Linked DNA regions of Anolis sagrei. The protein of the gene in region 2 purifies or fractionates together with the protein of the main gene of each other region. This does not show direct contact. Links are inferred from orthologs where the notes say so. Each region holds a gene or a part of one and is shown on either strand. Other genes may lie near its edges.

Region 1 (7,155 bases), on a different chromosome or scaffold from region 2:
AAGTCCTGCTCTATGTCCTAGTCTTCAGAACCGCAGAAAACAAGCTTGCCTCCTCATCAATGAGACATCCTTTCAAATATTTAAACAGGGATATCATGTTCCTTTCTCCCAGACTTCTTTTCTCCAAGCTAAGCACTCCAAGCCTTTCCTCACAAGGCTTGGCTTCCAGACTTTTTTGCCATCAAGGCTGTCCTTCTCTGGACACATTCCAGCTTGTCCATATTCTTCTTGGAGTGCTTTGCACAGAACTGGACAGAGTCTTATTCCAGTCTTATTATCTGCTTTGAACTGGATTATGTAAATCGACACTGCCATATAATCAAAGCAGATAATCTGGATTTTATATGGCAGTGTAGAAGGGGCCTTAAGCCCCTTCCAGACAGTTGAATAAAATCCCACATTATCTGCTTTGAAATGGAATATATGGCAGTGTGGACTCAGTTAACCCAGTCCAAAGCAGGTATTTTTGGATTTTCTGCCTTGACATTCTGTGATATAGGGATGATCCCATAGCACTTTGTCCTCCAAAGCGCTTTACATTTAACCACTTTACTTCAACCAGAGAAGTCAGCCATAGCAGAGCACCTGATGAACCAGCCTGGACACAGCATATTATTTGAGAACACAGAAATGCTGGACCACACCAACAACCACCATCTCAGACTACACAGAGAAGCCACTGAAATCCACAAGCATGTGGACAATTTCAGCAGAAAGGAAGAGACCATGAAAATGAACAAAATCTGGCTACCAGTATTTAAAAAACTCTAAAATTACAACAGCAAAACAGCAGAGAGGAAACAACCAGGCACATCTTAACACCTCTCAACAAAAGATTTTCCCAGGCTCAGCCAGGCCTTCAAATGCTAATGAAGTTGGTCAGTTGAAACATTCACACCTAGCTCCAGCAGGGAAGAGCTCTTTGCCCCACCCCAGCCATTCCACAGATATATTGTCCTAATTGTCCTAATTCCAACAGACCTCACTACCTCTGAGGATGCTTGCCATAGATGCAGGCGAAACATCAGGAGAAATGCTTCTAGAACATGGCCCTATAGCCCGAAAAAACCCACAAGAACCTAGTGATTCCAGCCATGAAAGCCTTCGACAATACACTTTACATTTCTTTAAGTCTGCTCATATGCCCTTCCACAAACACCAGTATCACCTTGCGTTCATGTCCCAGCATTATTTCCAATTTTAACTCTACATTTGGCCTTCCCACTGTTTTTAATTATGTGTTGTTTTATTGATAATGTTGTGTAATTTATTGTCTTTGGTTTTTTTTAATTACTTGCTTAAGTGGCTGAGGGGGGGAAAGGAAAGGGCCTGAGGCTGTTAGGAATTGTGGGAGTTGAAGTCCAAAACACCTGGAGGTCCCAATTTGCCTAGGCCTGTTATAATAATAATAGTTATTATTATTATTATTAAACTTTATTTGTACCCCGCTAGCATCTCCCAAAGGATTCGATGCGGCTTACACAGGCCGAGGCCTCAACACACAACACAACAATACAATCTAAGCAAATCAAACAATTAAAAACAGAATAAAGCAAAATAAACAACAGGCACAATACACTAAACACAATAAAACTGGGCCGGGCCAGAGTAATGGGTACAAGATCAAAAGTGTATATAGGGCTTCTAGGGCAAGTGCGATGTGCGGTGTGCAGCAATCATTGGTTCTGATAAAGTGCTTATGGGACTTGGTAGTGGAGATTTCCTAATCTGGGAAGGCGCATCGGAAAAGCCAGGTCTTCAAGTTCTTTCTGAAGGCAGCCAATGTAGGGGCCTGTCTAAGGTCTTTGGGGAGGGTGTTCCAGAGTCGGGGGGCCACCACGGAAAAGGCCCTGTCTCGTGTCCCCACCAAGCGCGCTTGCGACGCAGGCGGGATCACGAGCAGGGCCTCTCCAGATGACCGAAGTGAACGTGTGGGTTCGTAGATGGAGATGCGGTCACGCAGGTAGGCTGGTCCCAAACCGTTCAGGGCTTTGTAGGTAAGCAACTGCACCTTGAATTGGGCTCGGAAAATAAATGGCAGCCAGTGGAGCTCCTTGAACAGGAGGGTTGACCTCTCTCTGTAAGGAGCCCCAGTTAACATCCTGGCTGCTGCTCGTTGGACCAGTCTTCAAGGGCAGCCCTACGTAGAGCGCATTGCAGTAGTCCAATCTGGAGGTGACCAAGGCATGGACCACTCCGGCCAGATCCGTCTTCGCGAGGTACGGTCGCAGTTGGCGCACGAGTCTCAGTTGTGCGAAAGCCCTCCCAGACACCGCCGACGCCTGAGCCTCAAGTGTGAGCGTTGAATCCAAGAGGACCCCCAAACTGCGGACCTGTGGCTTCAGGGGGAGTGTAAGTTATGTGTAAACATTACAATAGGCCCATGATTGAATGCATTTTGTCATGGCTGAATGCTATGGAATCATGGGAGTTGTAGTTCCACCAGGCCTTCACCCCTCTCTGCCAAAGTACAAATCCCAAGACAGGGTCAAACTGTATTCATTCATTCGAATGGGCCTTCCAGGGGTTTGGGACTTCAGTTCCCAGAATGCCTGCTGATTGGCCAAAGCGGCAGAGGCTTCTGGGAGTTGAAGTCCGAAGAGAAAGAGGCAGGCACAGACGGAGTTCCCTCCCACCCTCTCCCCAGCCGGCCCCGCCTCCTCCTCGGGCAGTGGAGCTACTCGAGCCCGAGGCTTCATCTGCGGCCTGGTCCTTTCTCGCTCTGTTTTCTCGCTCTGTTTCTCACCGACGGGCTTGTGTCCCAGCATGGCGTGGAAGAGGCAGACCTCCACCTCGGGGCTCCAGACCACGGGCGGCGCGGGGAGAGGCGGCAGAGGCGGGGGGAGCGCAGTCGCCATGGAAGAGGACGAGGAGGAGGTCGTCAAGGCCGTGGTGGACGCCGCGGCTTCCTCCTCCGTCGCAGTCCCCACGGCGGGGCAAGGCGGCTTCCCCTCCGCCGCAGTCCCGGCCGAGCTCTCGGCTTCGCCCATGGCCTGCTCCGCTAACACAGGCCGAGGATGCGCGCTCGCGTCTAGGCCGCACAGCAGCGCCCTTAGCGAACAGCGCCCCCTCGAGGCCGAGTCGTGTATTACACTTCAGAAGGAACGCAGATTCCCATCACTGAGTCATCACAATAATAATCCATGTTCAACATTTACACAAATGACCAGCCACTGCCAGAAGGGACATAGAGTTTCATCTATGCTGATGATCGTGCCATTACCACTCAAGCAGGGAGCTTTGAGATGGTACAATAGAAGCTCTCCGAAGCTCTAGGTGCTCCTACTGCCTACTACAGGGAAAACCAACTGATCCCTAATCCATCTAAAACACAGACATGTGCCTTTCACCTTAAGAACAGACAAGCATCCCGAGCTCTGAGGATTACCAGGGAAGGAATCCCACTGGAGCATTGCAGCGCACCCAAATACCTGGGAGTCACTTTGGACCGTGCTCTGACCTACAAGAAGCACTGCCTGAACATCAAACAAAAAGTGGGCGGTAGAAACAACATCATACGAAAGCTGACTGGCACAACCTGGGGATCACAACCAGACATAGTGAAGACATCTGCCCTTGCGCTATGCTACTCTGCTGCTGAGTCTGCATGCCCAGTGTGGAACACATCTCACCACACTAAAACAGTAGATGTGGCTCTTAATGAGACATGCCGCATTATCACAGGGTGTGTGCGCCCCACACCACTAGAGAAATTACACTGCTTAATCGGTATTGCACCACCTGACATCTGCCGGGAAGTAGCAGCCAATAGTGAAAGGACCAAGGCAGAGACATCTCCAGCTCATCCCCTGTTTGAGTATCAGCCAGCACGTCAACGACTTAAATCAAGACATAGTTTTCTTAGATCTACAGAGACACTCGCTGGAACACCCCAGCAAGCGAGAGTCCAAAAGTGGCAGGCTCAAACCCAGCACCTCAATCCGTGGGTGATACCAGATGAGAGACTCCCCTCTGGGCACACAGAAGGCTGGGCGACTTGGAAGGCGCTGAACAGACTGCGCTCTGGCACCACGAGATGCAGAGCCAAACTTAAGAAAAGGGGGTACAAAGTGGAATCCACGACATGCGAGTGCAGAGAAGAGCAAACCACAGACCACCTGCTGCAATGCAACCTGAGCCCTGCCACATGCACGATGGAGGACCTTCTTGCGGCAACACCAGAGGCACTCCAAGTGGCCAGATACTGGTCAAAGGACATTTAATCAGCTACCAAGTTTGCAAAATTTGTGTTGTTTTTTTATCTGTTTGTTTGTTTTGTTCTGTTAGAAATGTAATACAATGTTCTGGTTGTGGATGACACGATAAATAAATATATCTCCTGCAGTGAGGGCATTGGTTCATAAGTGGAAGGCGGCAGTGAGGGCATTGGTTCATAAGTGGAAGGCGGCCCCAGTCGGGGTTGGCTTGACACACCTTCCTCTTGTCACGTTTCTCTCTTTTGCCCTCCATTCGTGCCTCTTCAAATTCTGCAGCACTGCTTGTCACAGTTGACCTCCAGCTGTGAAATAGCTATAAACCACACACAATAAATTTGTTTACAGATTTAGACACAAACTAAGCTGTAGTTTGGAGCATCGAACTATAAGGCAGGCATGGACAAACTTTCTAACTTGGGGACCATATGCTATCATTCCCTGCTAGGAGGACTGGCTGCCCGGTGATGGAAGAAAGAAAGGGAAAGAGGAAGGAAAGAGAGAAGGAAGAAAAGATGAAAGGGCGGAAGGGAAGGATGGAAGGAGAAAGAGGAAGAGAGGGAAGGAGAGAGTAAAGAGGAAAGGAAGGAAAGACAAAAGGGAAGGAAGGATAAAAGGATGGAAGGAAGGGAAGGAGGAAGGAAAAAGAGAGGGAAGGAATGACAAAACGGAAGGAAGGAAGGACGAAAGGGTGGGAGGGAAGGATGTAAAGAAAAAGGGAGGGAGGGAAGGACGAAAGGATGGAAAGGATGGAAAGGGAAGGAGAATGGGAGGGAAGGAAGAAAGGAAGGGAAGGAGGAAGGAAAGAGAAAAGGAAGAAAACACAAAAGGGAGCGAAGGAAGGAAAAAGGGAGAGAAGGTAGGAAGGAAGGACAAAAGGAAGGGAGGGAAGGAGAGATTGAGAAAGAAAGAAGGAAGGAGGAAGAAAAGAGGAAGAAAGGATGAAAAGGTGGAAGGGAAGGGGAAAGAGGGAGGGAAGGAGGAAGGAAAGAGAGAAGAAAGGAAGGATAGGATGGTGAGAAACAGGAGGGCCTGAGAAAAGAGCCCAAAGGGCCTGGGTTTACCCCTACGTTCTATAAGGGCTTCTAAACACACTCCCAATTAAAACTTTGCATAATTGGTAGAAGAAGATACCCGTTGAGTCTCGTAAAAGTGGCATAGCTTAGGGTCAGATTAAGACATGTCAAATAAAGTCCTTTGTTTCTTTTTACAAGGCTTACACAGAAATAAAGTCCTTTGTTGCTTGCTTCAACAAAGATGAGGCAAAGTCTGTGTTGCTTGGGAGATGAGACTACCGTGGTTTGTTATTAAATTGAATTTTTAATCTGCCGGCTGACATTAAGCAGCACAAATCACTCTGGTATCATAGATACACTTTGAGGCGGTATTCAACAACACCAGCAGAAATTCCAAATGATGAAGTTTCTCGTACTTCACAAATGACCTTTTTAAGGAACCAAAGAGGGAAAGAAAGTTGTTGACACATTCAGACACCCAGCCGCAATGAAGAGTACTGGCACTTACCTTGCAGTGTACCTATAATGATGACAGGTTCTTTCAAACACTTAAAGCAAGTTAATGGGTTCACGAGTAAGTTCAGCTAAACATCACCAATGGAAAAACCACAGAGCATTAAACTTAGGACCTCTCTGAACAAAGATCTAAAAATGGATTCTGTGTTGCAAACCCATTTTGCTTTGAACTGGGGAAGACCAGGATAACAAACTGATCTTATGGCACAAATCTATGTGCAAGCACTTGAAGAAACCTTTGAGTTTTCTTTTACAGACAAATACAAGAAGAAGAGGAAGAAGGAGAACAACAACAACACTTGCCACAGTTGCTGGAATTTTTCTCCTCTCAATCCTTCTCTTTGTCCCCCTTTTAAATGTATTTTTCTGGAAGAATAGCACAACTATGAGACTTCAACAACTTGCTATACCAAGTTTTTCACATTACCACATTTTTCCAGTTCTAAGATGCCGTCAAATATAAGACACACACTAAAGTTTATACCAACTACAAATACGCAATACAAGTTGTGTATTCTGTAAGGAGCAGAATACACAATAGAAGTTGTGTATTCTGTAAGGGAAAGATGTACTTTTGATTGGCAAACTAAGCCCAAAGTACCATGGATGCAAGAGGTGGATGTTTTGCAAGACAGACTTGCAAACAGAAAGGAAATGATTAACAATAACAACAATAACATACATTTTGTAATTACAAGCCCAGATTTGTGTATTCTGCCAGTAGGAGGTGCAGTAAGAATCAAAGAATTATAGAATCATAGAATTGGAAGAGATCTCGTGAGCTGTCCAGTCCAGCCCCCTGCCAAGAAGCAGGAAAATCATATTCAGAATCATACTTTTGATTGGCAAAGCTTGCCTAGACCTAAAGGGACATACATGTGCTGCATCTTTTGCAAAAAGGACTAGTAAAAGGCTGGAACTTTTGCAAAAATGATTAAAAAAAAACAACTTGAAAACAGTAAGGAAATACTTAAGATGAGAAATCTCAGTGCTTTACCTTTGGAACTGTGCAGTTTCTTCTTCGTCTTCTTCTTTCTCTTCCTTCTTCTTCCTCTTCCTTCTTCCTTCCTCTTCCTTTTCCTTCCTCTTCCTCCCTCTTCCTCTTCCTCCTCCTTACTCTTCCTCTTCCTTCCTCTTCCTCTTCCTTACTCTTCCTCTTCCTTCCTCCCTCCTTCCTTACTCTTCCTCTTCCTTACTCTCCCTTCTTCTTCCTCCTTCCTCCTCCTCCTTCCTCCTCCACCTTCCTCCTCCACCTTCTTCCTCCTTCTCCTTCCTCCTCCTCCTTCCTCCTCCTCCTTCTTCCTCCTCCTTCCTCCTTTCTTCTTCCTCCTTTCTTCTTCTTCCTTTCTTTTTCTTCCTTTCTTCTTCTTCTTCTCTTTATTTATACCCCGCATTTCTCCCTGTGGTGA
Region 2 (7,592 bases):
CTAATGCAAGGCGAGCTCCTTGGAAAACTGTCCCAAATTAGTCCTTAGTTTGGTTACAGGAAGATCTAGGAGTGAGCATATTACACCTATCCTAAAGTCACTCCAATTAGTTTCTGGGCAAAGAACAAGTTGATGGTTTTGACCTTTAAAACCTTACATAGTTTGGGTCCAGGTTACCCACCCACACACTTTGGTCTTCTGGGGGGTGTCTGCTCCAACCAGCCAGAACCCGAGTGGAGTGGCAGCCACCACCCAGACAACCTTTTCATCGAACGCCACAAGGCTGTGGAACGACCTGCCCATAGAGCTCTGACACCTGGATCAGCTGTCAGAATTTAAGACACAAGTCTTAAGACACCCCCCAGAAGACCAAAGTGTGTGGGCGGGTAACCTGGATCCAAACCATGTAGGGTTTAAAGGTCAAAACCATCAACTCAGAGTAGGCCTGTCTATTCTAGCAAGCCGACCCAGAGAGTCTATAAACACAAACTTTCATGGCCAGAATCACTGGGTTGCTGTGAGTTTTCCGAGCTGTTTGGCCATGTTCAGAAGCATTCTCTCCTTATATTTCGCCCACATCTATGGCAGGCAGCCTCAGAGGTTGTGAAGTACCTTGTCTAGTTTCCAATATACCTCACAACCTTTGAGGATAGCTGTCATAGATGTGGGTGAAACGTCAGGCGAGAATGCTTCTGGAACATGGCCATACAGCTCGGAAAACTCACAGCAACCCTATTATTATTAGTTCCTGCACCCCAGTAGACACTCCAAATCTTCATTGTTTTGTTGTGGTTGTTTTGTGATGTTGTGGGGCTAGGCCTCTTGTAAGCCGCACCGAGTCCTGCGGGAGATGGTAGCGGGGTATAAGAACAATAAATAATAATAATAAGTAGGTATGTTTTATGTCATAAACTTCGGCCCTCCAGATAGTTTGGACTTCAACTCTCACAATTCCAAAGAGCCAGGAACTGTGAGAGTTGACGTCCAAAACACCTGGAGGGTGTTTTAGTGTTTTGCTGCATTTGTTCATTTGAATTGTTTAGTGTTTATATATTAATTAGTATATACTATACAACAGGGTTTCTCAACCTTCCTAATGCCACGACCCCTTAATGGAGTTCCTCATGTTGTGGTGACCCCAAACCATAATTTTTTTTACTACTTCCTAACTGTAATTTTGCTACTGTTATTAATCGTCATGTAAATATCTGATTTGCAGGACATATTTTAATTCAATGGACCAAATTTGGCACAAATACTCAATGTGCCCAAATGTGAACACTGGTGGAGTTTGGGGTAAAAAGACCCTGACATTTGGGAGTTGTCGTTGCTGGGATTTATAGTTCACCTACAATCAAAGAGCATTCTAACCTCCATCAATGATCTAATCAAACCAAACTTGGCACACAGAACTCCCATGACCAACAGAAAATATTGGAAGCTTTTGGTGGGCATTGACCTTGAGTTTTGGAGTTGTAGTTCATCTACATCCAGAGAGAACTGTAGACTCAAACAATTAAGGCTCTGAACCAAACTTGGCACAAATACTCAATATGCCCAAATGTGAACACTGGTGGAGTTTGGAGGAACCAGACCCTGATATTTGGGAGTTGTTGTTGCTGGGATTTATAGTTCACCTACAATCAAAGAGCATTCTGAACCCTACCAACAATAGAATTGGGGCAAACTTCCCATAAAGAACCCTTATGACCAACAGAAAATACTGTGTTTTCTGATGGCCTTTGGTGACCCCTCTGACACCCCCTCACGACCCCTCCAGGGGTCCCGACCCGCAGGTTGAGAAACCCTGCTATACAAGGTATGTTTTATGTCTACCTCATAAACTTTGGCCCTCCAGATGTTTTGGACTTCAACTCTCACAATTCCAAAGAGCCAGGAACAGTGAAAGTTGAAGTCCAAAACACCTGGAGAGTCTTTTAGTATCTTCATAGTGTTTTGCTGCATTTGTTTATTTGAATTGTTTAGTGTTTATATATTCATTAGTATATACTATGCAAAAATTAGTATATACTAATTTTTTGAAATGTGTTTGATACGAGTGAAATAAAAGCTGTTGAGGTGGCTGGGATTTCTGGGAGTTGGAAGTCCCAAACCACCTGGAGGCCCAAAAGTGAGGGGACCACTCCTGGAGTGCGAGCCTGGGAAGAGAGGAGAACACGCGGGGCGCGCGCAGCAGCAGCAGCAACACCACATGGCCAGCCTGGACTTCCTTTCTCCCCAGCTGGGAGCGCGAGGCGCAGGCGCCACCTAGCGTTGCCTGCCTTCCCTCTCCCAGGCCCAGCCCTTCCAACGAGCGCCTCCACAAAATGGCGGCCGCCCGCCCGTCGCGTCACGTGACGCCCTTTGTGCCTTTCGGGGGGCCGAGAGCGAGCGAGGCCGGGAGGGCGACCCCGAGGGCGCGCGGAGGGGCCCGGCTGGCTCGCTGTCTCCCCGCTCCCTTCCTCCTCCTCCTCCTCAAGGCAGAGGGAGAGGGCTCGAGAGGGCGAGGGCGGCGGGAGGGGGGGAATGGCGGCCATTTTGTGCCTGCGCAGAGGCGGCGATGGCGGCGGGAGGGGTTTTTTTCCTTTCTCTCTCACGTACCGACTCCTCTTCCTTCTCCATGCCCGTGGGCATCTGCGGCACGGCCCGGTTGATGGAGGCATACTCGGCCAGGTCGGGCAAGTCCTCGCAGCGGAAGACGGGCAGCGGCTTAGACGCGTCCAGCGCCCGGGCCCGGAACGACAGTTTGCTCATGCTAGTCGGCGGCAGGGATGATGATGATGGCGGCGGCGGAGGAGGAGGAGGAGGAGGAGGCGGGCGGGGGAGGGGGGCTGGAGGCGGCGCTGCTGCTCCGCGCGGAGAGCCCGGCCCGGGCGACGCCGAGTGCTCCTCTCCTCCGCCGCCTCCTCCTCCGCCGCCGCCGCCCTCCTCCGCCTCCTCGCCGCTCCGGCTCCGCTCAGCGCGCCGCGGCCAACATGGCGGACATTAAACCTCCTCGACTGGCCGCCTCTTCCAGCCAACCCCAGCGCCACAGCCATTCCCACACTGCATCGCGCAAAGGGGCGCGCGCACGGCGCCGACAGGAGGGGGCGCGCGCAACAGGAGACCGCGCGGGCACGAGCGGCAGGCTGGCGGGAGGGAGAGAGAGAGAGAGCTTGGAAAGAAACAGGCGCGATGCTTCGCACCGCCTCACAAACACACTTTGGAAGGGGTCCCCCCCCCCTCTTTTTTTGACCTCTCGCCCAGAAGATTTTTGAAAAACCCGACGGTTATTTCGTCCTCTGTGACATCAAGCCATTCTATAGAATTGACGGGGGAACCTTGTGTTTGGACACCAGGCCTGAGCCAACTTCGGCCCTCTTTCCAGATTCAGACCAGCTATATACTCAGGGTTAAGGCACTACAGCAGGCCTGGGCAAACTTGGGCCCTCCAGGTGTTTTGGACTCCAACTCCCACCATTCCTGACAACCTCAGGCCCCCCCCTTTCCCCCTCAGCCTCCTATTTTAGAACAGGCCTAGGTAAACTTGGGCCCTCCAGGTGTTTTGGACTCCAACTCCCACCATTCCTAACAGCCTCAGGCCCTTTCCTTTCCCCTCTCAGCCGCTTAAGCCTCTTATTTTAGAACAGGTCTAGGTAAAGCAGCTGAGGGGGGAAAGGAAAGGGCCTGAGGCTGTTAGGAATGGTGGGAGTTGGAGTCCAAAACACCTGGAGGGCTCAAGTTCGCCCATGCCTGCTATAGACCCTGTCAAATATTCTTCCAAAGCCGCTTAAGCCAACTTCCGCCCTCTTTCCAGATTCAGACCGGCTATACTCCTTCCTCCCCCCCCCCCGTCTCTTATTTTAGAACAGGCCTGGGTAAACTTGGGCCCTCCAAGTGTTTTGGACTCCAACTCCCACCATTTCTAACAGCCTCAGGCCCCTCCTTTGGGAAAAGGAAGGGGCCTGAGGCTGTTGGGAATGGTGGGTGTTGAAGTCCAAAGCTGTTAGGAATGGTGGGAATTGAAGTCCAAAAGAAGGGGCCTAAGGCTGTTAGGAATGGTGGGAGTTGAAGTCCAAAGCTGTTAGGAATGGTGGGAGTTGGAAGTCCAAAAGGAAGGGGCCTGAGGCTGTCAGGAATGGTGAGAATTGAAGTCCAAAGCTGTTAGGAATGGTTGGAGTTGAAGTCCAAAAGAATGGGGTTGAGGCTGTTAGGAATGGTGGAAGTTGAAGTCCAAAAGGAAGGGGCCTGAGGCTGATAGGAATGGTGGGAGTTGAAGTCCAAAGCTGTTAGGAATGGTGGGAGTTGAAGTCCAAAGCTGTTAGGAATGGTGGGAGTTGAAGTCCAAAGCTGTTAGGAATGGTGGGAGTTGAAGTCCAAAAGAAGGGGCCTAAGGCTGTTAGGAATGGTGGGAGTTGAAGTCCAAAGCTGTTAGGAATGGTGGGAGTTGGAAGTCCAAAAGGAAGGGGCCTGAGGCTGTCAGGAATGGTGAGAATTGAAGTCCAAAGCTGTTAGGAATGGTTGGAGTTGAAGTCCAAAAGAATGGGGTTGAGGCTGTTAGGAATGGTGGAAGTTGAAGTCCAAAAGGAAGGGGCCTGAGGCTGATAGGAATGGTGGGAGTTGAAGTCCAAAGCTGTTAGGAATGGTGGGAGTTGAAGTCCAAAGCTGTTAGGAATGGTGGGAATTGAAGTCCAAAAGAAGAGGCCTGAGGCTGTTAGGAATGGTGGAAGTTGAAGTCCAAAAGAAGAGGCCTGAGGCTGTTAGGAATGGTGGGAGTTGAAGTCCAAAGCTGTTAGGAATGGTGGGAATTGAAGTCCAAAAGAAGAGGCCTGAGGCTGTCAGGAATGGTTGGGAGTTGAAGTCCAAAACACCTGGCGGGCTCAAGTTTGCCCATGCCTGCTATAATATTATATAGAATATATAATATTCTTCTAGAGCCGCATAAGCAACTGAGGGGGAAAAGAACGGGGCCCGAGGCTGTTAGGAATGGTGGGGACTGAAGTCCAAAACAGCTGGAGGTCCCAAGTTTGCTCAGGCCTGTTCTAAAATAAGAGGCTGGGGTGGGGGGAAGGGCCTGAAGCTGTTTGGAATTGTGAGAGTTGGAGTCCAAAACACCTAGAGGGCCGATGTTTACACATGCCTGTTGTAGTGCCTTAACACTGAGTATATAGCCTGTCTGAATCTGGAAGAAGGGCCGAAGTTGGCCCAGGCCTGGTTAACACACTTCTCACTTTTGAAACTTCTAAGATAGAATCCTGCTTTTTTCCCCCATTTTAAATCCAAAAATTATTATTATATTGTTATTTTAGGAGCATAGGATACTCCTTTATATCGCTCCGCGCCTAAGGACTGTTCCAAGTTGAGCATCCTTTACAACAGGCCTGGGCCAACCTTGGCCTTCCCTCCAGGTGTTTTGGACTCCCAACTTCAACAATTCCTATTATTTTTCTAGAACCATAGGATGCTCCCTTATATCGCTCTGCGGCAAAGGATTGCTCAAACAGGCCTGGGCAAACTTCGGCCCCCAAGGTGTTTTGGACTCCAACTCCTACAATTCCTAACAGCTTCAGGTCCCTTCCTTTTCCCCTTTAGCTGCTTAAACTGGGGGGGGGGGGGACGTGTATATTCCAATGTGCTTCTGAGTAACCTGTTCACTAGATAATTTTGGCCCTTCTAGCCATAACTTAATATCTGGCTACTGCACTCTACCATTGTCCCTGCCCCTGTAGTTGTAGTTGACTACATGAATTGACTTGGGCTTTCTAGTCAAAACATATCATCTGGCTTCTGCACTTTTCTATCAGCCCTGTCCTTGCAGCTGTATTGCACAAACCCTGCCTCCCCCCTTAATTTTAGTATATGGCCACTATGCTCAGCTACTGGTTGTAGAATAAAAAATAATAATAAGAGTTGGAAGAGACTGCATGGGACATCCCCTGCCAGAGAAGCACAGTCAAAGTATCCCTGACAGATGGCCATTCATCTTCTGTTTAAAAGTTTCCAAGGAAGGAGCTTCCGCAACACTCCGAGGCACAGAGTCCCACTGCCGAACAGTTCATACGGTCAGGAAGTTCTTCCTAATATGAGATGAGATGGTTTAAAACAATTGATTTTAAAGTGGAGATAATTTATTTTAGTGTTTTTGTATATTTATAGTTTGTTTTATGTTCCAGCATTGAATGTTTGCCTTGAGTCCCCTTTAAGGTGAGAAAAGTAGAATATAAATGTTTTAAATAAATAATTAAATAAAAGAATGTTCAGGTGGAATCTCCTTTCCTGTAATTTGAGCCAACTTCGGCTGTCCAGGTGTTTTGGACTTCAACTCCCACAATTCCTAACAGCCTCAGACCCCTTCCTTTTCCCCCTCAGCTGCTTAAGGAATTGTGGGAGTTAAGAGTCCAAAACACTTGGAGGGAGGGGCGAGGTTGGCCCAGGCCTGCTTTAGAATCATAGAATAACAGAGTTGGAAGAGACTACATGGGACATTTAGTCCAATCCCCTGCCATGCAGAGGAAGGACAATCAAAGTATCCCTGACAGATGGTCATCCAGCCTCTTCTTAAAAATTTCCAAGGAAGGAACTTCCACAATTGTGGGATTTGGGAGTTCAAACACCTGGAGTGCTGAAGTTGGCCCATGTCTGGCCTACACTGTGTAGATGGGACCCTTGGGTTGCAACCACTTGATATTTTCTCCCCAACTACACCTAATATGAAATACTAAGCTAATATTTCTTACGTCTTTTGAATTAAAATCTTCCATTTTAAACCAGTTATAATTAATAGTTTTTGAGAAGCACATAACCACATACAACTTCCAAAATGGGGTTGCCCACCTAATTTGAGAAGCATAATAAAAGGGCCTGGTGGCACAGCAGGTTAAACCACTGAGCTGATTGAAAGGGTGGCAGTTTGAATCCAGGCAGCGGAGTGAGTTCCCGCTGTTAGCCCCAGCTTTTGCCAAACTAGCAGTTCTAATATATGAAAATGTGAGTAGATCAATAGGTACCGCAGGAAGGTAACTAATCCATGCAGTTATGCTAGCCACATGACCTTGGAGGTGTCTACGGACAACGCTGGCTCTTCAGCTCAGAAATGGAGATGAGCACCACCCCCCAGAGTCGGACACAACTAGACTTAATGTCAGGGAAAACCTTTACTTTTAATAAAAGGGAAGTGGAACGTGTTAAATTTACTGTAAAAGACAGCAGTTAGGGTAGAATATACTGAGAAGTTATGACAAAATATCCCTTGCTTAAGAAAGAATCTCTACTCAGAAAACACACAGGCAAAGAAGTGTTTCTGGATTAGATTCGCTCCAAAATGGTAGGTGTTTGTTATGTACATGTATTTCATCATATTTTAGCAGCACTCTGACACAGTAGTGTCTGATGAAAATGTTGATTTATTGTAACTTCCTGCAAGTGTTTAAACTACAGCCAAGTAAGAAGACAGATGAGGTGAAGACTTGGACTGTCCTTCACGATCTTTGCCTCTGCAGTTTCTATGGTTAGTAATTAGGTGTAATATAAATCTCTACAATGCAGTGTGCACTTTCTAATTTCTGAGACCATGTAAAGAAAATCCTTGAATTGAGGCACTGGTCAACAAGGGT
Region 3 (7,876 bases), on a different chromosome or scaffold from region 2:
GTAAAGTCTTTTGTGGCAGGTTGTCCTATTGCAAGCATGGGCAAACTTTGGCCCTCCCTCCAGGTGTTTTGGAAGGCAACTCCCACAGTTCCTAACAGTCTTCCGGCTGTTAGGAATTCTATTTATTTACAACATTTATAAGCAGCCTTTTTACCCTGAAGGGGACTTAAAGAGGCTTACAAGTTATATGTACATACAATACATATTATTAGAACAGCACATTATTATTATATGACTGTATTATACTATACCAATATACTGTAATATTATTAGTAATGTTACATGTAATATGAAATATACAATTATATTGTATTACTAGTATTATATTGCATTACATATTATCAATATTATACATGTATATAATATATTATTAGCACAGTACATTAGTATTACATATTACTACTAGCTATCCCCTGCCACTCGTTGCTATGGCCAGTTTGTGTATGTGTTTTGTGTGTGTATATATGTGGTTATGTACATGAATTGTAATTTTTTTTTTGCTTTTTTGAGTCTTTTCTGCTGGGTTTTTCAGTGTTTTTATGAGTGATGGTCACTCATTGGTCTGATAGATGTATTGTGTCCAAATTTGGTGTCAATTCGTCCAGTGGTTTTTGAGCTATGTTACTCCCACAAACGAACATTACATTTTTATTTACATATTGTACTATACCACTATACTGTAATATAAAATATACAATTACTATATTGTTAGAATCATATTGTATTACATTATCAATATTATATGTGTATAATATTGATAATATAATCAATATTATATTGATTATAATGGCGGGGACGAGAGTCAGGGCCTTTTCAGTGGTGGCCCCTCAGCTGTGGAATGCCCTTCCTACAGATATCAGATTGGCCCCCTCCTTATTGGCATTTCGGAGGAAAGTGAAGACCCGGTTGTTCGAACAGGCATTCGATTAGGCAGTGTAATTGATTATAGGAACACGGAGTAACGGATGATGATATTGGATTCTGATTCTATTGATGAGACGTGAATGATTTCCATCTTGTCTTTACTAATAATATAATATAGTATATTATATATACATATATTTATAATATTATAATGTAATACAATATAATGGTACAGTGCAATATACTAATATTATACTGATATTGTACTACGCTAATAATATAATATATTGTATGAAAATATATATTGTATTGTCGAAGGCTTTCATGGCTGGAATCACTAGGTTCTTGTGGGTTTTTTCGGGCTATAGGGCCATGTTCTAGAGGCATTTCTCCTGACGTTTCGCCTGCATTTATGGCAAGCACCCTCACCACCTCTGAGGATGCTTGCCATAGATGCAGGCGAAACGTCAGGAGAAATGCCTCTAGAACATGGCCCTATAGCCCGAAAAAAACCAGAAGAACCTAAAATATATATTGTAAGCCGCTCTGAGTCCCCTTAGGGGTCAGAAGGGCGGCATATAAATGCCGTAAATAAATAAATAAATATTGATGTTTGTTGTTATGCTATTTGTTTTTAAATGCTCCAATGGTTTTGTAATGTGTGTATTGAAATTGCTGTTGTTAACCGTTTTGAGTTGCCTAAGAGTTGAGAAAAGCAGTATATAAATGAAGTAAATAAATAAATAAAAATACAATATATTGTGGGAGTTGAAGTTCAAAACACCTGGAGGAAGGACCGAAGTTTGCCCGTGCCTTTTCCATTGGGGCTGCATCTTAATGCATGGAAAGGGGGTTGGGACTGGACGTGGTCTCTCCCAACTCAGTTCCGAGCACAACTCAAGGTGCTGGTTTTAACCTACAAAAACCTGTACGGTTCCGGTCCAGTGTATCTGTCCGAACGTATCTCCCTCTACGTCCCACCCGGAGTCTGAGATCATCTGGGGGGGGCCCTGCTCTCGACCCCACCACTGTCACAAGTGAGGCTGGTGGGGACGAGGAGCAGGGCTTTCTCAGTGGTGGCCCCTCACCTGTGGAATTCACTCCCGGGGGAAATCAGGGCATCACCATCCCTCCTCGCCTCCAGGAGGGTGAAGATGTGGTTATGGGACCAGGCCTTTGGGCACTCTGGCAATTAAATCAGACAACCAGGCGAGTATGTCCAACAGGATTGATGAAGTGGAATGTAAAACTAGATCTATGAGCTAGCGAACGCTGACCATGTAAGAGGCGAAACTGGGTTTGTATTGGTTTTATTGATTTTATGGTTATAATGCATGAATTGTTGTAATTTTGTGTATGATTGTTTTATGATGCAGGCATCGAATTGTGCCTTTGCCTTTGTAAGCCGCCCTGAGTCCCCCTCGGGGTGAGAAGGGCGGGGTAAAAGAACCCCAAATAAATAAATAAACTCTTTGATTCTATCAACTTTTTCCTTCCTAGAAGGACGCAAGACAAGGCCGAACGCTTTGCAACACCCCCCAAGTGCCCACCTGCAAGCCAGCTCTCTGTGAACGGGACACCGTCTTGGTTTTGGTCTTCCCAGAGTCTTTCCCAGCTTTGCCACCGGCCTAGAAGAGCACAGAGAAAGAAGCAGAAGAGGCAAGGCAAGTCAACACGTGGCCTCCTCCTCCTTAGCAACCACCCCCGCCCCGCCGCGGGCTGGCTCCCACGTGACGCAAGGGCTTGGGGCGGAGAGGGCGCGCGAGAGGTAGGCAGGCCCGCGCGTGCGCAGTCTCCTCTTCACAGCATTCCCTCCCCCCCATTCTATAAGGCGTCGGAGCCGAGGCGCATGCGCGGTAGGTCCTCCACGAGCCTTACTCCCGGGCGCATGCGCGTCACTCTTCTCCCACCGCGCCCCTCACTGTCCTCTAGCCTCTCCCTCTTTCTTTCCCCATCCGGGTATTCCTTATGCCAGGCAGCCGACAGCACGAGACTAGGGCGCATCACGCGCTCCCTTCACAATTTTTTCCCCTTTCTTTCCCCTAATCTGCCCTGATCCGCTTCACCCTCGCTTACCATTTCGAATGAGGCCTTGGAATGAGACACACGAAAGCAGAACTGAGCGCAGACCTCCCTGACGATGCGAAGACGGCGGCGCCAGTTCAAAACTGCGCCCGCTCCCGCCTTCCCCGAGCCCTTTATAGGCGGCTCTAACGTCCCGTCATCCGGGGCCTCGCGTCGTCAAACCAGCCAATCGGCACAATGAGGCGGCTCCCCCTGCGCCCCGGGAGGACCAATAGGAAGCCGAGCAGGAGGGAGGGGGAGGGGCTTGCGTTCGGAGCGTCTCGCGCCGAACTGTCCCGTATAGGCCCCGCCCACCTGAGCCCCCAGAGGCGTTTCTCTCTGTTCTTTCCTCTCTCTGCTCTCCTTCCCCGCCTGGAACGTTTCTCTCTCCCATCACCACTCAATAAAGAGACATCCCCACTCTCCTCTTTGCAGCTGGTTCCTTTTTCTCAATTAAAAAATATATAAATTTCCCCACTTTCCTGTGAAGAGAAACTCTTCTGAGCGTTTTAGTCCTTGGGGACTTCAACTCCCAGAAGCCCCTGCCAGCGTGGACCACTCTCAGGAATTCTGGGAGTTGAAGTCCAAAATACTTAAAAGGGCTGTAGGTTCCACTAAAACTGGATTGTAGGGAAAATTATAAAGCAGGCATGAGCAAACTTGGGCCCACCACTTCTTTTGGACTTCAACTCCCACCATTCCTAACAGCCTCAGGCCCTTTCCTTTTCTCCGTCAGCTCTCCAGGTGTTTTGGACTTCAACTCCCACAATTCCTAACAGTCTCAGGCCCTTCCCTTTTCTCCTTCAGCGCTCCAGGTCTTTTGGACTTCAACTCCCACAATTCATAACAGCCTCAGGCACTTTCCTTTTCTCCTTCAGCCCTCCAGGTGTTTTGGACTTCAACTCCCACAATTCCTAACAGCCTCAGGCACTTTCCTTTCCTCCTTCAGCCCTCCAGGTCTTCTGGACTTGAACTCCCACAATTCCTAACAGCCCCAGGCCCTTTCCTTTTCTCCTTCAGCTCTCCAGGTGTTTTGGACTTTAACTCTCACAATTCCTAACAGACTCAGGAACTTTTCTTTTCTCCTTCAGCCCTCCAGGTGTTTTGGACTTCAACTCCCACAATTCCTAACAGCCTCAAGCCCTTTCCTTTTCTCCTTCAGCTCTCCAGGTCTTCTGGACTTCAACTCCCACAATTCCTAACATCCCCAGGCCCTTTCAATTTCTCCCTCAGCCCTCCAGGTCTTCTGGACTTCAACTCCCACAATTCCTAACAGCCTCAGGCACTTTTCTCCTTCAGCCCTCCAGGTGTTTTGGACTTCGACTCCCACAATTCCTAACAGCCTCAGGCACTTTCCATTTCTTCCTCAGCCCTTCAGGTCTTTTGGACTGCAGCTCGCACCATTTCTAACAGCCTCAGGCCCCTTCCTCGCGCCGAACTGGAAAGGAAGGGGCCTGAGGCTGTTAGAAATGGTGGGAGTTGAAGTCCAAAACACCAGGAGGGCCCAAGTTTGCCAATGTCTGTTATAGAGGAATACTAACTGCTGTGCATTGCATCTACCATGTGTACCTTCAAGTGGTTCTCGACTAATGGTAACCGTTGTTGTCACAGGGTTTTCTTGGCAAGATTGGTTAGGATTGTTGTTGTTGTTGTTGTTGTTGTTGTTGTTGTTGTTGTTGTGTGCTTTCAAGTCATTTCAGACTTAGGTTGACCCTGAGCGAGGACCAGGTAAATGACCTCGGAGGGCCGTATTTGGCCCTCGGGCCTTAGTTTGAGGACCCCTGTCATAGAGTCTCAACCAATTCAACCTAGTTTGTGACAGCCACAAAAATGAAGTTTCTGGAGTAGAACAGCTCCAGAATATCGAGCTTATGGATATAACTTTGAAAATGTATTTACAGTCTGCTTTTTTATTGTACTTTTGTGATTGCTTAGTCTGCTAATTTTGGAATTACTTCTGGATTATTTTTGAAACTATCTTTTCTATTATATACCTTTTTCTTAATAAACTTATTACTTATTGTTGAACTGTGGTGTTTGGGTATTTATTTATTGTGCCAGAAGTGAATTGAGAATGCAGTTATAATTCATATAAAAACCATAAAGTTAAAAGCTTGGCATTCTACTACATTTCTTTTAACCAGAAGCTGGCCACTTGCAGTACCTCTGGTGTGGCTGTAAGAAGATCCACCATTGTGCATGTGGCAGGGCTCAGGTTGCATTGTAGTAAGTGGTCTGCGGTTTGCTCTTGTCCGCACTCGCATGTCGTGGGCGGCACTTTATGGCCCCATTCCTTAAGGTTAGCTCCGCATCTCGTGGTGCCAGAGCGCAGTCTGTTCAGCGCCTTCCAAGTCACGCAGCCTTCTGTGTGCCCTGAGGGAGTTTCTCATCTGGTATCAGCCAGTTTCAGGTTTTAACCTGCCACTTTTGGATTCTTGCTTGCTGAGGTGTTCCTGCAAGTATCTCTGTAGATCTTAGGAAGCTGCTTCTTGATTTAAAGTGTTGGCTTGCTGGCTGATACCAGAACAGAGAATGGTCCGGAGATGTCAATGTCAAAGCAGATAATTCACTATCTGCTTTGAACTGGATTATATGAGTCTATATTCCAAATAATCCAGTTCAAAGCATATAACCTGGATTTTATATGGCAGTGTAGAAGAGTCCACAGCATCCTCATATGTTCTATTCTTAGGCACTTCACATGATTCAACTGGTTTTCTGTTTATCCCAGAAAAGCTGGGATCAGATCCTGGACTTTAAAGTCTGTATGGAAGGGCCCTCAGCCTCCAATATGCTATATGACCCCTTTGCATTCATATACATATATTGATAGTTCCAGTTTCAGAGATGAGCAAATACCTCACCTACAAAGTTGTTTTTTTTAACAACCCAAACTGCCCGGTAACAGTGTGGGGTATTATGAATTCCTCATCCACAAATCTCCTTTCTGTACTTTACTTACTTAGGCAATCCCTCGTTGTCCGAGTAGGATAGTCTTCCAAGATAAGTGGCGGTGGGTCTGTAGGTGACTATAGAGCCCTCTTCTTTATCTGCATCTTCTCCCACAGTGAGGGCATTGGTTTCCAGGTGGAAGGTGGTCCCATTCTGGGTTGGCTTGATGTGCCTCCCTCTTGACACGTTTCTCTCTTTCGCCCTCCATTCGTGCCTCTTCAAATTCTACAGCACTGCTGGTCACAGCTGACCTCCAGCTGGAGCGCTCAAGGGCCAGGGCTTCCCAGTTCTCAGTCTATGCCAGAGTGTTTAAGGTTGGCTTTGAACCCATCTTTAAATCTTTTTTCCTGTCCACCATCATTCCAATTTCTGTTCTTGAGTTTGGAGTAGAGCAACTGCTTTGGGACACAGTGGTTGGGCATCCAGACAACGTGGCCAGTCCAGCGGAGTTGATGGCGGAGGACCATAACTTCAATGCTGGTGGTCTTTGCTTCTTCCAGCACGCTGATATTTGTCCGCTTGTCTTCCCAAGAGATTTGCAGGATTTTCTGGAGGCAGCACTGATGGAATCATTCCAGGAGATGCATGTGATGTCTGTAGACAGTCCACAACTTGCAGGCATATAGCAGGGTTGGGAGGACAATAGCTTTATAAATAAGCACCTTGAAATCCCTACGGATGTCCCAGTCCTCAAACACTCTCTGCTTCATTCAGAAAAAAGCTGCACTGGCAGAGCTAAGGCAGTGTTGTATTTCAGTGTCAATGTTGACTTTTGTGGAGAGGTGGCTGCCAAGGTAGCGGAAATGGTCAACATTTTCTAATGTTACACCATTAAGCTGTGTTTCTAGCATTGGAGAGGGATTGCCTAGTGACTGCTGGAAGAGCACTTTGGTTTTCTCGATGTTCAATGACGGGCCGAACTTCCCATATGCTTCTGCAAAGGTGTTTAGAGTGGCTTGTAGGTCTTATTCTGAATGCACACAGACAACTTTGTCATCAGCATATTGGAGTTCTATAACATGTTGTTGTAACCTTGGTTTTGGCTTTCAGTCTGCTGAGGTTAAATAGTTTGCCATCTGTCTGATATATGATTTCCACTCCGGTGGGAAGCTTTCCATCAACAAGATGAAGTATCATAGCGATGAAGATGGAAAATAGGGTTGGGGCAATAACACATCCCTGTTTGACACCTGATTCCACCTTAAATGGGTCACTTTGGGAGCCATTGCTGTCCAAGACTGTTGCCATCATGTCATCATGGAGGAGCCGCAAGGTGTTCACAAATTTGTTAGGGCATCTGATTTTTTGGAGGATGGTCCAGAGAGCGCTGTGATTCACTGTGTCGAATTACTTTGCAAGGTCGATGAATGCCATGTACAGAGGTTGATTTTGTTCCCTGCATTTTTCTTGGAGTTGTCGTGCAGTGAAGATCATGTCCACTGTTCCTCTGGAGGGGCGGAAGCCGTTCTGGGATTCTGGGAGGGTGTCTTCTGAGAGGGGTAGAAGGCGGTTCTTGCAAGGATTTTCCCAGCGGAGGTTAGAAGGGAGATACCTTGATAGTTTCCGCAGTCTGTTCTCCCCCCCCCCCCCTTTTTTTTTTTTTTTTTTTTAGAAAAGGTGATGATGGTTGCATCCTTGAAATCTGCTGGGATTTTCTTGGTCACCCACACTTTTTCAATGAGCTGGTGGAGTTGTTGTGTCAGCTCAGGTCCACCCTCTTTAAAGATTTCAGCAAAGATCCCATCAGGTCCGCTGGCTTTGTTATTTTTTTTTTTGTTGGCTGATGGCATTGCTGACTTCTTCCAGACTAGGCAGTGCTGCAAGCTCATCCCTGGTTTGTTGTTGCAGGACTTGTGAGAGAACCTCTTCGGCCACATTGGAGCTGCGATTCAGGAGGCTTTGGTAGTGTTCTTTCCAACGTAGTGCAATTGGTTTTTTTTTCCTTCAGAAGTTTGGTTCCTTCTGATGAGCGTAGAGGCTGTATGCTATGGTTTCT

Evidence for each region.
Region 1: the proteins of EPC1 (region 2) and MRGBP purify together in Homo sapiens (affinity purification with mass spectrometry; 6 studies listed by BioGRID and IntAct, counting the BioPlex papers as one, with this or other methods). This does not show direct contact. The link is inferred for Anolis sagrei from reciprocal best matches to the Homo sapiens genes EPC1 and MRGBP.
Region 3: the proteins of EPC1 (region 2) and H2AZ1 purify together in Homo sapiens (affinity purification with mass spectrometry; 4 studies listed by BioGRID and IntAct, with this or other methods). This does not show direct contact. The link is inferred for Anolis sagrei from reciprocal best matches to the Homo sapiens genes EPC1 and H2AZ1.

The regions. Positions count from the first base shown.
Region 1 is NC_090024.1:234,248,582-234,255,736, reverse strand, and holds the start of MRGBP (MRG/MORF4L-binding protein), read right to left. Parts: upstream 3,058-7,155; 5' UTR 2,991-3,057; coding exon 2,747-2,990; intron 1-2,746.
Region 2 is NC_090026.1:112,421,100-112,428,691, forward strand, and holds the start of EPC1 (enhancer of polycomb homolog 1), read right to left. Parts: upstream 3,071-7,592; 5' UTR 2,755-3,070; coding exon 2,602-2,754; intron 1-2,601. UniProt on the Homo sapiens protein: Component of the NuA4 histone acetyltransferase (HAT) complex, a multiprotein complex involved in transcriptional activation of select genes principally by acetylation of nucleosomal histones H4 and H2A.
Region 3 is NC_090025.1:26,582,850-26,590,725, forward strand, and holds the start of H2AZ1 (histone H2A.Z), read right to left. Parts: upstream 3,086-7,876; 5' UTR 2,944-3,085; coding exon 2,941-2,943; intron 2,493-2,940; coding exon 2,415-2,492; intron 1-2,414. UniProt on the Homo sapiens protein: Variant histone H2A which replaces conventional H2A in a subset of nucleosomes. Nucleosomes wrap and compact DNA into chromatin, limiting DNA accessibility to the cellular machineries which require DNA as a template.